Drosophila melanogaster: one gene and its partners. The protein of the gene in region 3 interacts with the protein of the main gene of each other region in a pairwise test. Each region holds a gene or a part of one and is shown on either strand. Other genes may lie near its edges.

Region 1 (6,058 bases), on a different chromosome or scaffold from region 3:
TAGAAACAGGCTTTGGGCGTTGCGTTGCATGAATGCATTCAATAGATGAACAAGATTCGTGACAATTCGCTAGTCGGGCGGGCTTGTGTATCTGTATCTATGCGGCTATAGTTGTTCTGCTGTGGATGCGACTGGCTAATCGAATAAATTAGCTCGCATAACCAGACCGGTTGACTAGCTGACTAGCTGACTAACTGACTAACTGACTAACTGACTGATTGACTGACTGGCTGACTGTCTAACTGACTGGCTTATTGTTTCACCCGAGGCTTGCATAAATATGACGCCTTGGCGACTCATCCGCGGCATCCATCTCAATTCGCACCTTCATCTGGGGAATGATCCCAATGTGGATACGTGCCAATTACAGATTTGCGACTGCAAATTGCACCCCTGTCGTGGGTCGGGGTCACCACTAAGTCAACTAGCCAACGCAATTAGTCTTAACAGCATTCGCGAATCGGACCCGCTTTAAGTCTGGCTATTTGTAGGGATCACCAGTTCAGGTGGGATGCATAAACAAGTTCCACGCTATCGATCGTGCAAAGTATTGGCATTCATAACTAAACGTCTGATGATAAATGTACTAATGTACTGCACCATTAAAGACCGAAATATATGTATATTATGCATAAATTATTGATTAAAATTTTATTAATTACATTAATATAACAAATTCAAAGATATTTGGATGCTGATCACACCTGCAGCGTGGAGAAGAAGGAAACCACAGCGCTATCTGTGGGCAGACACTGGCCAAATGCCTCGATTAGCAATGGTTCCGCGGTGACCGTGCCCATAAAATCCTCCAGGGAGACCTGAAAACCAAATCATTATATCTGTAAGGAATTATACCACCACCAATCCATTCACCTTGCCGTCCTTGTCCAGGTCGAACTTCTTGAGCACAATCTCCACCAGATCCTTGACGCCCTCGTCGGGATCTTCGTCCTGCGGTTGTTTTATCAGGCAATTTCGCAGCAGCGTAAACATTTCATCCTTGGTGATGAAGCCATCCGTGTTCAGGTCGTAAACCCGGAAGCAAAAAGCCGCCCGTTCCGCCGGCGTGCCGCGCAGGAATGTTGAAAGTCCAATGAGCCAGCCCTCGAGGCGAAGGGGCAAACCCTCGTGGGCCTTGTCCCAGCTGCAGAAGATGCGCTCCATCAGGATCTCCTCGGTGACGATGTCGAAAGTGCTGTGCAACAGCTCGCGGAACACAATGCGATCGATGCCCTACGAAGAGTGGCGCTGAAACACCATTTCTTGACAGGATCTGTTCATAGTTACCTCCACGGCAGCATGTGGCTTGGCAATAGCTGCGCTCGAGGAGCTGGAGGCCAGCGTCTTGGCCGCATATTGACAATTTGATACCAGCTTGCGATAGATGCGGCACAACGCATCCAGCTCGTCCCTATTCGGGCGCCAAGTGGCACATACAGTTCATCATCGTACTCCAAATTATGTATGTATGTTTGTATGTAATTCACTCACTTCGTAAACCGCGTCTTCTTTCGCAGGCTGTCCAACAGCTTGGGATTCACTTTGCCGCTCAACTCATCCATCCTCCGTTGCCGCTGTTGCCGTTTGTTCTGCAAAGCAGCCGCGGCGGCCTTCGACTGTTGGTTGCTCGAGTTGCGCTTGCCGCTGGCAAGGAACACGGATACCGTTTTCAGTATCGTTTTGTTGGCATGTAGTGTGGATCTACCAACGCCAGTGGTGCCGCCAGTTGCTGTGGGTGCCGCTGCAACACCACCACCACCACCACCACCGCCTCCACCACTGCCAGCACCAGCCGTTGCCCCGCCATCCCGATTGGGTGTCGGTGTTGGCGAACGACCCTTGCCAGCGCCCGCCTTTCCTGCAACCCAAAAAAAAAATAAGGTTCAGCTTTACATGGGTGCGTGTCTCTGTCTTTGTGTTGGCCTGCTGCTGCTTTATGTGTCAAAGTCGACACGCTCACCCCCAAAACTCCTGGCGCCGAAATAAACTCCTCCTCCTTGGCGAGCTTAGCCAGCAAAGGCCCTTCAAGTGTGTGGATGTGGAGCAGAGCAAACAAAAGGCCTGAAATGCAAATGCGCCTCGCCAGAATCAAAACCATTCCCATACCCCCATTCACCCCATTCGCGGCCCATTCAAATGGGTAATAGCGTTCACATTCGGCTCATAAATTGTTTTAGCCGGCTATTTCGATTCGAAATACACTGAGCGAAACCAAAAGCTGAGAACTTAACTGCACCCCATCTGGTATACAAACCTCATATGCTTATGAGATTTACAATCCAAAGTATCTTACCATATCTCACATAAATTCATAACGATTGGACTAATATTATAGATATTATATGTACACAATCCCATTCAGTGATACTGATTGATACTTCTTTTTTGTCTAAGTGCACTCATTTACTGTTCTGCTCACTTTGATTTCAATCTACTCTGCCACCGAAGTCCTCCCTTCTCCGCTTTGTTGTTTCGTGTCTCCTTTGAGAAAAAATGTTATTATCTTGTGATTACCCATATAAGTGAAGGAGCAACATATGGGGTCCCGTCTGTCTATGTCTATGTCTATCCATCTGCGCCCCAGACACTATAATTTTATTAGCATTTTCATTTGCTCCACTTGGGGAGGGGGGGAACTGAGTTTTTGGGAATGGCAATGAAAGTGGATGTGGAAACGGGGAAGCGTGTTGGGTTCGGGCCACCGAGAACCGTTTGTCTAGACCCCCGATACCATGTATGTACGGCATACAGTTTCGTGTAATTTGTTGATATCGGTTGCCCGGTTGCCACACAAAACCTGCAACATGGGATCAAGCCCAAACCCAAACCCACACCCAAACTTGAGCGACCACCTCTGATGGGGCAACTAAATCAAACATCTTTGGACCTGGCAGTCCATCAACGGGTTGCACCCGACGCCTCCGCTCAAATAACTGCAACATATATCCCCAATTACATATGACAAAGGACCTTCTGGACGAGCTTGTTCCTCGCCTGTTCTTTTGGCCAATCCCTAGAAATGCCTCAGTCGCGATTTGCAAGCCAAGCGAAGGCATCATCTACTCCGGGCATGGACACGGATTCTATTGAGAAGTAATTTGAAACTCATTTTTAAATCAATCAGAAACTGGAGATGAATAATAAGTGAGCCCATAAACCATATACAATGGGTTATGTTATGAATCGAATTGCTGGTATATGTATACAAAAAAAACTGACACCGTTCTTAAGGCATTGCATAAATAAATATTTTCTATTGATTTTTACTGATACATTGCATTGCAGGCCAGTTGGTAGGAAAATATCGGCTTTTCCATGTGGACGCAATGTATGTAAATATGCAAGGATTACATCACAGATGGACGTGCCTGTGGACGGGCCACCCATTTTATAGCCTCATTCGTGGAATTTCAATGGACTTGAGGACCTTTTGAGGAGACATCCCACTCACTCCACCGTTATTTTGTTTTTTTTTTAAACCTCAAATGGAATTTCGCCTGCAGTGCCGACAAACAACTTGCGTTCAACTATTTCGCAGAATGGGGCACTTTGTTGGGGGCGCGCTGCAAAGTATGCTATGGCAATTGTCGAAACGCCAGGAGTAATTACTCCACACACACACAGACACAAAAGCGACGAGTACACACACACACACTCACAGAGAGAGAGAGACACGGAATGTTGTTGGTTTTTGTTTGATAGATCTTTAAAGTAGATACCCATGTTTCGCTGGCTTCTGGGCGCTTTAGCTGCTGCTGCTGTTGTTGTTGTTGTTGTTGTTTTGATTGCCCGATTAACTCCACGCAGGAGCGTTAAACCGTGTCCCTCGGCCCTTGGGCCACAACAAAAGGTAAAAAGGCGCTGAAGGAATCAACAAACGTGGCACTTTCCATCAGTTTCCAAGGCGTTGACAAACCCGCAGGCATTGTCAGTTGGACTAGGTAGGGAGCAGTGGAGCCAAGAAGCCAAGGAGAAAGCTTGGCCCATTGGAGGATATATGGGGCGGTGCCAGGCGAAGAACCAACAACTATTGACAAAACAAGGCCAAGAAACGGGCGTAACTTTCTTTTCTTTTCTTTTGTTTCCTTTTTTTATTTGTTAGATTTCACTTGTTTGTAACATGTTTTTTTTTAATTTTTTTTTTTTATATTTCTTTACTATTTTTACTCATTTTTTGTCCCACTCTCGTCCATGGGGTTTTATTTCCATCTGACTTCGATTGCTTGAATTACGTTTTAATTATTGTGTATCCTGATAGATATCGGCATATATATATATATATATATTTATATATGTATGTTGAGTGTGTGTGTGTGTGTCACTTATATACAACTATCAGATTACTCATTAATTCTGCTGTTAGACTTAGGCATAAGTATTGTTATAGTGTTAGTACATAGTACAGTAGATCGCTAATGTCTATATATCTGCACTTTCATTTGATTTCACTTAAGAACCCGCCTTCTAAAAATCACATCCTCATCAAAATTCCAACCCACCGGATGTTCTCCAATTCTCCATTTCTCCAATTTGATTAACAATTTTAAAAAGCGAGAACGAGGGAGAGAGATGACTAAGAGAGAGAGAGAGAGAGAGAGAGAACAATAAATCATGTAGTAAATGTGGTGTAAAGACAAAATGTATTATAATAAAAAAATATATGCTTTTGGCTTAAACACGGGTGACATAAGTTAGACATAAGAATTATTGCATTTAATTACACGATCAATTCGAATCCTATTTTAAAATATTACATAATAACCGTATAATAAGATTAATTAACAAGAAAAAGAACTGCAACGATTATTCCGTCTGTTCCACGCAATCGCCTCCATGCCTTTCCTCTAGGATTTGTCTTGGCTTTCTATTTCATTTCATTTAGTATCGATCGTATTCACCTTTTGATATATATTTTTTTTACTTTTCGGCAGAGAAAGTGCTGCTAAGTCTGATGATTTTCTGCGGTTTCCAAATATCTTAATACACATATACAGACAATAAAAAAAAATTCGCGCTTACAATTAAACGGAACAAAAACAAGACAAACATATAAAGTACACACTATTACATAAGAACAAATAATAATCCGCAGTTTTGCTGATCGATCGATCGTTCTAAGGTTTCCGTTCCTCTGGATTGCAAATTGGATAATTGGGTTATCGTCGTGTGGTATTTATATGTGGTGAGGGCATTCCAAAAACTTATGTTTGATGGTGGTATTTGTGTTTACGTTTTCTATCAACTTGTTAAACTCTAAAGAACGACGAGCATCGAAGTCTGTTTAATGCCAGATCAAGGCCAAAGCAATTTCTCGTCAAATTTCGCATTGCATGTGCACTTACTATAACCATTTAAATTGCGCTTGCATCTATGCTTTTATCTCTGCTATCTGTATTTTATCGGTTTTGTTTGTTTGTTTGTTTGTGTTTCTATTCTGTTTGTTTCTATTTTGCTCTTCCATCCGTTCCATTTTTTTTTTGTTACTGTGGTCTATATATCTGCTATGATCTGTTGCGATCGTTGCTCCAATCCGTTTTGTTATCAGCTACTGATGGCTAAACTAAGAGTTTTTAAATCTTGTTTTTCTTTCTGCTTACATTAGTGTATATATATATATATATTATGTATATATTTATATGTATCTGCGTGTGTGCGCTGATCATCACACGCCATCATCGAATCACTTTCTATCTTAAAATCCAATTATCATTTATCAATTATGTATATATATATATAGATATATATATATATATATTGTTGCTTTTTGTTCCATCGCCAACTGAAGGGGTATGGTGAAAGTATAAGTGAGTGTGTTTGTTTGGGGAAATTGGGTGGCAGGAAAATGGATTCTCGAAGCATTTGTATTAGGCTGTTGTCAGTGTTAGTGTTAGCGGTAGTTCCGTAGGCTGGCGGTCCAACCGATATTATAATTCCATGTCCCTGGCCTCATCCTCACTGTAGTCGGACATGCTCGACTCGCTGTCGCTGCTCTCCCGCTCCTGCTGCGCCGCCCGCAACGCGTCCTCGGTGGCATAGCGCTGCACATAGTCGGCCACCT
Region 2 (4,096 bases), on a different chromosome or scaffold from region 3:
CGGGGTTGGTTAAGAATTCAAGAAATATCAAGCGTAATCCGCAACTAATCATATAATGGCTATATTTACAGCTCGCTGTCTTGCACTCCGATTGCATTCCGAATCGCTGTATTTAATGTTATATATACTCGAATATATTGGGCCACTCTGGAGGAGAACTCCTGGCAATATCCGCACTTCGCATGGAATCTATGTTACTACCTGTTTGTTTGTTTCGATAGTTTCTAGCCGGAATCAAACTGAATTTAAAGTAAACAAATAAGTTCCACATAGCTAAAGCCCAAACTACCCCACTCCGGTACTCTCTTTTTTTTTTTTTTACTTACTGGCCAGACGTACTCAACCCAATTGCACCGGATTTGCCGAGGGCGAAGAATGAATATAATGAAGTATATGGGCGACAAAGTATTACACTAATCTGCATAAATGTAATGTTTAAATAAATTATAGCCGTACTAGTCAAATTATGAAGTAAAGTTATAAAAACTGAAGAAGCAATAGAACTCTGTAAAAGATTCCGATTCGAGCGACACACCCAAACACATGTATCCATTGTTATTGAACAACTATTGAGATAAATTACATATTATTCCACATTGTTAAACTATCGTTGTATTCCGTCAATTTGAGGCTACATCCGGATTTCTGTTTCAGTTGACTACAAATATATATCAATGTAATTGAGAAATTCCAATTGCTCTGTTCAAAAGTTGAAGTTACGCCTAAGATTAACCAAGTAGCATACTACAAAATAAAAAAGTTGGACCGTCGTAGTCGCTGCTCCAAGTGAATATTCGCAAAATGCATTGGAAGTTAATAAAACTCAATACAAGAGTCAAGTAAAATTACCTGAGAGTTTTCGTAATTAATTGATTTATTTATTCAATACCAGCTTATCAAGCCAACTCAATTCAAACAGAAACTTAACACCGGGAGCTGAACAAGTCAGTAGTATTGGGCAGCTGGATGGACTAGAACCATTTGGGCAGAGCGTCATGGGGCAGGTTCTTATGGTTGGGCAGCGCCGTGCAGGGACGCTGTTGGCGCCAGAACTCCTGCCGTTTGTTGAGAAACTCCACCGCCTCGCGGGCGTACGCGGAGATGCTCTCCGTGTGTGTGTCCGCGCGGACCAAATCCGGATGGAGCAGCAACTTCTCCAAGTACTCCTTGTCCACGCACAGTTCGCCCAGCAGCTTGCGGGCGTTGCGTCGTTCCAGATCCGCTCGACTGGGTTTCTGCCGCGTCCTGGCACTGGTCCCCGTTGCTCCCGCTGCCTGGGATTTAGGTGTATCCTCGCCGGACTTCCGTGACTTTCCGCTCTTGGGAACAGATGCTGTTGGTCCTGGTGGACCCGGCTTGCTGCCGATGGTGTTCTCGATGGCCTCCTGCGTTTTCTGAACGCCCAGGCGAAACAAAGCCAGTTCCGGACGAGCCCTCAGACCGCGATGGAAGAACATCAGGCTCTGCTCGAACTGACCGAGGTAGTACAGCGACTCAGCCTTCTGGTAGATGGCCCGAATGTTGTTCTTGTCCTCTCCAAGAGCCGTCTCCGCATCCTGCAGTGCCTTGGAAGCCTCGCCCAGCAACAAGTAGCACTTGCTACGCGAAATCAAAGCATTGATGTCGGTGCTATTCAGCTCAAGAGCCTGAAATTTTAAGGTTTTGTTAGCTAGTTTTTAATATGTTATGGCAGATCTTAGAAAACTAAACGGGACTTAACAGCGGTATAGATTCTATTAAAAAGAGAAAACCTGCTTAACTAGATGACTCTGAAATCTGAACAGTTCCAATAATGAAACCAGGAGCACCTTGCAAAAAAAGTGTATGGCGTTCTCGGGATTGGCATTCTTGATCTCCTTGAGCCCCAGTGCGATCACCGAACTGATGTCCGCCTCGTCCGGGATGAGCAGTGCCTCGTTGCGGTCCTGCTTCTGCTTGATCTGGAGACTCTGCTTGATGTCAAATGCACCAGCGCTGACCGCTGCCGCCCGATCTTTGTCCGTGTAGAAGTCGACGAAGTTCTCCTTGGGCTTCTTCTTCTTGGCGATCTGCTCCTCGATCTTTTTGCGTGCCGCCCTAAGTTCGGCCTCAATGCGATTGCCCCGCTTGCCGCCCGCAGCGTCGCCTCCTGCTCCTCCCCCAGCTCCTCCGTCATCCCCCTGCTTTCCATCCCGTCCAGCACCGCGTCCGCCCCGATCAGTGGACTCGCGCCTCTCCCAGATGGGAGGCTTGTGGGAGCGACCCTTGGACCGCCGATTGGTCTCATCCTGTGACTCCTCCTCAGCCGCTGCTCCGGTGCGTATGAAGCTTTGCAGCAGTTCCTGCTCCTTGTCCACAGCAAGAATGGTGTTCAGCACGTTCGACATATCCTTATAATACCCTTGGCAATCGCTGGGAAGAATCTTCAACGTCCGACGATTGGAGTAATCCAAAAAACTCAACTTCTGACCAAATCACTAGCCAATTGATTGGCGCTATAATGGGTTGTTGCCAGGAAACTGGCGCCACCAAATGGGTTAGCAATCGATAACAAAACAACCACTCGTGCTGTGCCAGGTGCTACATATCAGGTGTCAGGCACCAGGTGTCGTGTCGTTTGGCGGTGTGAATGCCAAGAACAATGGCCTCCATGTGGGTCACGACCTTGGGGACGCCCTATTAGAAGGTGAGAATGCATATCCACTCCGATCTATCCTCTTTTCTCAGTGGTCCTCGAGATTATCATATTTTAAACTAATTTTTTGGTTAATGCTTAAGGAATCGAGTTGGGATTTTGTTAACCATGACTGGCTTACGGGGCGTATGAGTAACTTTCTTGATATGTTTTGAGGGGGACTTTAATTTCCTTAAAATTACGCATATTAAAGTAGCTCCTTTATAACACTAAAACTATCAACGGTATCTTTTCTCAATACGTTTTTTGTTTGCTAGCATAGAGGAATAAATTGGCATACGTGTCGTATGAGTAATATAAAAAAATGTAACAAAAAAACCTTAATGTAAACTAAAACTTATCATTAAACACTTGAACAATCTTGGCTATAAAAAAAGCCTTTCTATAGTGTTTCTATATGGTGTTACTCTACAGGTGCTTGTTCAACTACGTTAAGAATGTCAAACTGTGCTCCTTTGTTGTGAACTAAAACCTGTGCGAAGCTTTCAGGAGCTTTTAGCGGATGTCCTTTCCCGCTAAGTGATTATCCTTCTTCACGAACAAAGCATTAAATGCTTAAAAGTGAAAATGAAACACATAAAATATCACCGCCTTCGTTTTTATGTACTTTTCGAAAATTATGAAATTAAATAAAAGTACATAGATTACTTTTATCTTAATTACATATTTTTTAAATGCGATAAAACCCGTTTCAAATATCCTCAACTGTGTCTAATTTAAATGATTCACTTTGTGTAAAGTTTATCAAACATTATTTATAGTGCAATTCGGAGATGGTATTCCCAATTGCACTTTATTATTTGATGGAAATAATTCTGCCTAGTCTTAACTGTGGCTAGTAAGTTTCCCAACACACCTGGTTGTATCCAAACAAAGCCTTCTCGTAGGCCCGAACCTTCATGTGGTTATTGGATTGATCGCATAGCAGTTTAATATTGGTCTCGATCTCCTCGAGAGTATCGACCTTCGGTTTCTTGCGCGGCATTTTAAATTCGGTATTGTTAAGTAGTTATAGTGGCTTATTGAGATGGTGTATCGTAGTAGTTTCACATTTTTCACCCTTCAAGCCTGTGACTTCTTCACTCCGTAGTCTAAAATTGACGTCTGAACGCGACGGTTGTCGTTGAGCAACTGAATTATGTGCCTTCACTTTGCATTTGACCCAACTTGGCTCGCTTCTAGACCCCCAATCCATGGAAAAGGCACCCCATCACAAGCTGCAACTCAGGGGTTCCGGCTTTTCTTTACTTTGTATACCAGTTTACATGCGCTGACAAGCAGCAATAAACTTCAATAAAGTTTCATTAATATCTCAACAAACCCTTCTGAGCATTCTGAAAAGCCACAATATCCTTTGGATACCACAAAATATTAGTTTTTGTTATGAAACATCTACTAGCTGATTCATTTTGTCATCAGCTG
Region 3 (5,022 bases):
GGTCAGCTTGGAAGAGGGTCAGCGCCGATTCAGGGAGTTATCCTGCTCCTGTTTTCACGAGATTTCCGTCAGAGAGAGCGTGGATCAAGTAAGAGGAAAAATTTTCTTACAAAAGATTTCTTTATTAAGGTGAAGTGAAATTAAACTTTTGTCTGATAAATTAATCTTCCATTTACCATCACATGGCACCTTATAAATATACGATTTGTTTATTCACTCATTCCAACCAGGTGCAGAATGTTTTTCGCGATGTGTTTCGCTTCTGGCGAGTCTTCAGCAAATTCCCCAAGCTCAAGCGCTCCACCAGCGATGTGGCCAATACGGATGGAATCCTCACGCCCGATTCGGGATCCTGTTCCTTCTACGATGCCTCGTCTTTGGGCGTCGGTCGACATTCCTTTCTGGTCATCGGAAGCGCCTGTTTGGAGGAGAGCAACGGTGACCATACGGAGTCTACGGATGAGATTACGAGTAGCAGTTTGAGCAGCTCACGCAGCGACATCGATGCTCCCTTCCGTAGTAGAGCTTCGACGGACGGCACCCTGTTGTCCCGACCACGTAGATGGCGGTATCCACCGCCGGGATGCCTGCTGCCACACACGAATCGCGTGGAGCGACGGATGAGCATTTCCACCAGGGGCAGTAATGCCAGTTACTAGAGTGGAATTTTATGCAGGGTGGGTCGAGCTTAGTTAGTCAAAATATGTAGCGACAAATATATAATTATATAGCTAGATGTTATTGTCATGGAAAATGAAACATATTTTTCTGGGATTTCTGGTTTAAAAATTTACTAACTTATTAATTTATTTGCTAAAAATGCAAGAAATTGGTAGCATCGGCATACACACATATATTTCGTCAAATACAATTAAATAACTTAACAAAGAAAAAAAAACAGGAAGCTAGTCATCGTCGATTTTAAGCAGATATTCCTCGGCACGCAAGGCCAATTCGCGGATATTGCGCAGACAACCAGCGGCGGCCAACTGGAGCTCCTTGTTAGTGGATCCAATGCACTCCAGCAGGAAAGGAACAACTCCACTCTGAAGTAAAATAAAAGAATCTAAATGAGTTGCTAAGTGTGATTAGGTAGAAGAAATGTACCTGGTGCATGGTAATGCAGTTCTGCGGATCCATCGATAGCTTCTCCAGTGCCATGGCCGTGCTGCGGTGCACCAAGGGATTGTCGCTGGTCATGTAGGTGACAATCGGAGTGACAGTACGCAGACGTCCCAGTTCCTCCGTATTATTACCGAAGCAGGCACAGGCGGCCACGGCAGCTGCCAAGTTCATTCGAAGGAGGTCGTCGGTGGTCTGGACGAGATCGGCTAGCTTGTAGATGACTTTCAGATCGGTTAAGATGGCTAGATTGGTTTGATCCTGGGCAATTGTTGCAATGGCAGCACAAACGGCGGATAAGACCATGATATCCTTGGACTTTAGCAGACCCACCACCAGTTCCATGGCGCCAACCAAGCTCCTGACCAATTCAGCGGAATCGTTGGCATTTCGAACACAGGGACATATGGCGTAAGCCGCATGGGCCTGAACCCTAGTTGTGGGGTTCTTCAATAGCGACCATATCAGCCTGACCGCATCCAGATCCTCAAGGATTCTCATGCTGTCCGGATCTTCGGCACACTCCTTCAATCCCTTGGCTAAATTTTCCAGAAGAGGGGCGTGAGAACTGTTGAGTAGGGAAACCATTGCTGGTAATCCTCCAGCCTGACGCAGTTGCTCCCTATTGCTTTGAAATCTCACACATTCAGATATAGCTCCGGTCACGTTGGTCAGGACCTCGTCACACTCATCATTTAGCAAGGCCACCAGGTGGTTCACCGTCCTGAGTTGATCCAGCACTTTGACATTTGCATCGGTTACGGCACACATCCAAATCGCTCCAGTGGCGCCTCTCAATAAAGGCTTATTTTCCCTCACATTCTTGTCCTTTATGATAGTTACCAAAGGTTCCAAGCCCCCAGCCTCCCTCACCAAATCCCTGGTGGTTCCGTCGAAGGCGCACTTGTAGATCGCTGTACTGCCCTCCATCTTCAGCTCGGTATTTTCGGAACTCAGATGGCTCACAATGTCGGGAATCATGCCCTCGGTGGTGATGGCCAGTTGGAACTTCGGCTCCGAGGAGCACTTTCGAACGGTGCCCATTATGGGAATGACGACATCGATGTGACAGGACTTAAGGAGCTGAGCCATCAAAGGAACAATTCCGCTCTTGCGCATCTGCTCCATGTTGTGCTTGGAATCGGCCAGAGTGAAAAGAGCCCGGGCTCCAGCGCGTGTCATATCGAGAGATTCCAGATCATCTGGACTCAATTGGTCACGAGGCGTCTTTAGAATGCTATAATATAATTAGGTTTTTTTTTAATTATTTCTTATATGTGGTGATGTAGTATGAAGCACTTTATCCAATGCCAACTCACCTCAACTTGATGTCGATGAGATCCACCAGCTTGGGGATTCCTCCGCAGGTGCGCACATACTTTCTGGCCAGTCGCACCTTGCACACATTGGCCAATGTCTCGGCGGCCATGGTTTTTAGGTCCTTCATGGAAGAGTTTAGGATGTCCACAATGAGGGGAATGCCATCCAGATCTACGATGGTCTTCCTAATATCGATGTTCAGTGTGATATCTGAGAGAACTTTGAGGGCGCCCAAACAGCACTTGGTGTCGCTGCACTCCAGGATGTTAACCAAGACATCGAGTCCGCCGATGTCCGAGATGGCGAACTGATTGATCTGGGTGCTCAGATCGTAGTCCTTCAAGCAGCACAACGATACTATAGTGGCTGTCTGATTGCCCGCCTTGATGTATTTCACCAGTTTTTGGATATTATAATAGTCAGCCGGAATCTCAGCGGCTCGCGCCACTTCCTTCCAGCGTTCCTCCTCATCCGTAGACGATTCCACCTCCGTGGTATCCGAGTCCTCGGCGGCCACCTGGCGCTTATCCTTTGAGAATCTGTTGGGACAGGATCCGCACTGTTCTTTCTTCTTTCGACTCCGATTGTGGGACGTTCCGCTGCTAGTGCCAATCATCCTTTCGCGTTGGATTACTCACAGATTTGGCCAATCGTATTCCGGAAATATCTGTCGGTATGCCAGCTTTCTTCAGTTTTGTATCGGAATTTATTGTGTTTTTGTGTGGGAGAACTTTATTAGGCCAGGCAATTGATTTAATAAGGCGTGTTGCTAAGGTAACTGAGATAATTTCAAAAATACCGGGCTAGGGCAAAGGTATCTTAGCTCAAACTTGTAAGTTTTTTTTTATTTTAATAAATTTTTAACTACAGCTATCCAAGGCATTTAAAATTTATTTTATTCGCTTGGCCTTCGTTGAATTCGCTTAGCGGTTAAAATTAACCGTTTAGCAAATACATCGACCTGACTTAGCACAGACAATAACCATTCATAGTGCAGACGACCACCGCGAAATTTACCCGTTTCCGAAACTATCGAGGGTATCGCAGGGAAATCGACTGCCATTCCATCACCAGCTTGTGTTGTTTGTTTTTTATTTTCAATTAAAATCCGCGATCATCCGCAGCTGCAGCTGCATTGTTTGTTTACCAGCCGTCGTAGCACCAGCCAACTGAATTTCGTGTCCTGAGATGGGAAATGCGAGTGGCAAGCGGGAGACGGATAATCTCTACAATTCGGAAGAGCTACGCATGCTGGAATCCGCGTACAAAAACGCCTCTGGCGGAGCACTTGAGAAGTTGACCCAAGACAGATTGGTGGTAAGTCAAGTAAATCCAGTTACCGTGCCACGTGTGCACTGCGAAAATCAATGGCAACTGCATTCTGCATTTGCGGAAGGGTCAGGGTCACAAGTTCAAGGACGCGCGGAGTGAACTTTCTTCGGCAAAAAAAGAGAAATCGGGACTTTCGAGTGCATGACAAACGGCCGTCCATCCACCTGCTGCGATGGCCACCCTTCACTTGAATGGGTATATCCTTTAGGGCATTAATTTGTTGTTGTCACTAACTCCTATTTCGAGGATTAAACATTGAAGTTAATCATAGTACTATGTTCCGAAAAAGAAGCTTAGTTATATAAGAGAGTGAGTCGCAACATTATCCGGCATTATACAAAAGTTCAAAGTTTCTAAACCTTATTTTAATACAGTTCTTTTTCGATTTAAAGTGCAAACCAGGAAATTTAACAGAGTTTATAAAAAGTAAATTATTCAACTTGTTTAAAAATGTAATTTTCTAAACTAGTCAGTCCTATTTAGATTAAATGTACACGTAACTTTCCAAAATTGTTATTTTAACCCATTTAGTTAAATCAATCTGATCATACACAATTTATGCTATAATTTTTCCGATGCGGGTTCAAGGCCCCAGATTTGTGTTTTATTTTTATCACAGCACAGATGACGGAAATGCAACCACTCAAAAAATGTTTGTTTGTAACCAGATGATGATTTTTCCTTATAATATTTCCATCTATTTATAGCTCGTGTTTGATTATCACAGCGCTTCCTAGGGTATAGCAAAATTCGATATCTTCAACTCGGGCGTTATCAGTTTCGAATTGATAATTCCTGGGCCAGTGCGAACGTGTCCATAATTTGTCTAATTTGTTTGCTGCCGCATTTCACTGTTTGTCTTTTGCTTTGTTGAATTTGCTTGCTAACGAATTAGTCGTGATTTCAATGACTGGGGTCGTCAATTAGGGCCAAACCCAATTGAATTAAAAATAAACCATATGCTTAACCCGTTTACAGCATGGCATGTGAAATAGTTGATTTTTAGAATGAGGAAATTATAAGACTTGCATTCATATAGAGTAATTTAAGCGGAAACTCTCTAAATTGAAACTTTACATACATTGAAGTAGTATTTATTTTCATAAAACTTGAGAGACTTTGTTTTCAGTCAAACCAAATTATTATTCATTGTACGTCCTTCAATGGGTTAATCTGTGTCAGCGCTTCCCAGACCTTCGTTCCCTGCAAGAATTTGCTGACAGCAGCGGGAAAATTATGTTTACGTAT

The links.
Region 1: the proteins of gudu (region 3) and CG2256 interact in a two-hybrid assay, tested with the Drosophila melanogaster proteins (one large-scale study listed by BioGRID).
Region 2: the proteins of gudu (region 3) and CG13502 interact in a two-hybrid assay, tested with the Drosophila melanogaster proteins (one large-scale study listed by BioGRID).

Annotation. Positions count from the first base shown.
Region 1 is NC_004354.4:8,083,385-8,089,442, forward strand, and holds CG2256 (uncharacterized protein), read right to left. Parts: upstream 3,830-6,058; 5' UTR 3,724-3,829; coding exon 3,720-3,723; intron 2,382-3,719; exon of another isoform or gene 1,859-2,381; coding exon 1,492-1,858; intron 1,463-1,491; exon of another isoform or gene 1,412-1,462; coding exon 1,288-1,411; exon of another isoform or gene 1,234-1,287; coding exon 874-1,233; exon of another isoform or gene 872-873; intron 819-871; coding exon 699-818; 3' UTR 634-698; downstream 1-633. Other genes in the region: UbcE2H (ubiquitin conjugating enzyme E2H), read right to left, coding at 5,925-6,058.
Region 2 is NT_033778.4:22,084,921-22,089,016, forward strand, and holds CG13502 (uncharacterized protein), read right to left. Parts: upstream 2,502-4,096; 5' UTR 2,367-2,501; coding exon 1,809-2,366; intron 1,647-1,808; coding exon 972-1,646; 3' UTR 862-971; downstream 1-861.
Region 3 is NT_033779.5:7,386,712-7,391,733, reverse strand, and holds gudu (gudu), read right to left. Parts: upstream 3,227-5,022; 5' UTR 3,059-3,226; coding exon 2,442-3,058; intron 2,360-2,441; coding exon 1,108-2,359; intron 1,047-1,107; coding exon 906-1,046; 3' UTR 832-905; downstream 1-831. Other genes in the region: CG5160 (uncharacterized protein), read left to right, coding at 1-88, 231-659; CG5149 (uncharacterized protein), read left to right, coding at 3,631-3,759. UniProt on the Drosophila melanogaster protein: Important for spermatogenesis where it may have a role in sperm individualization.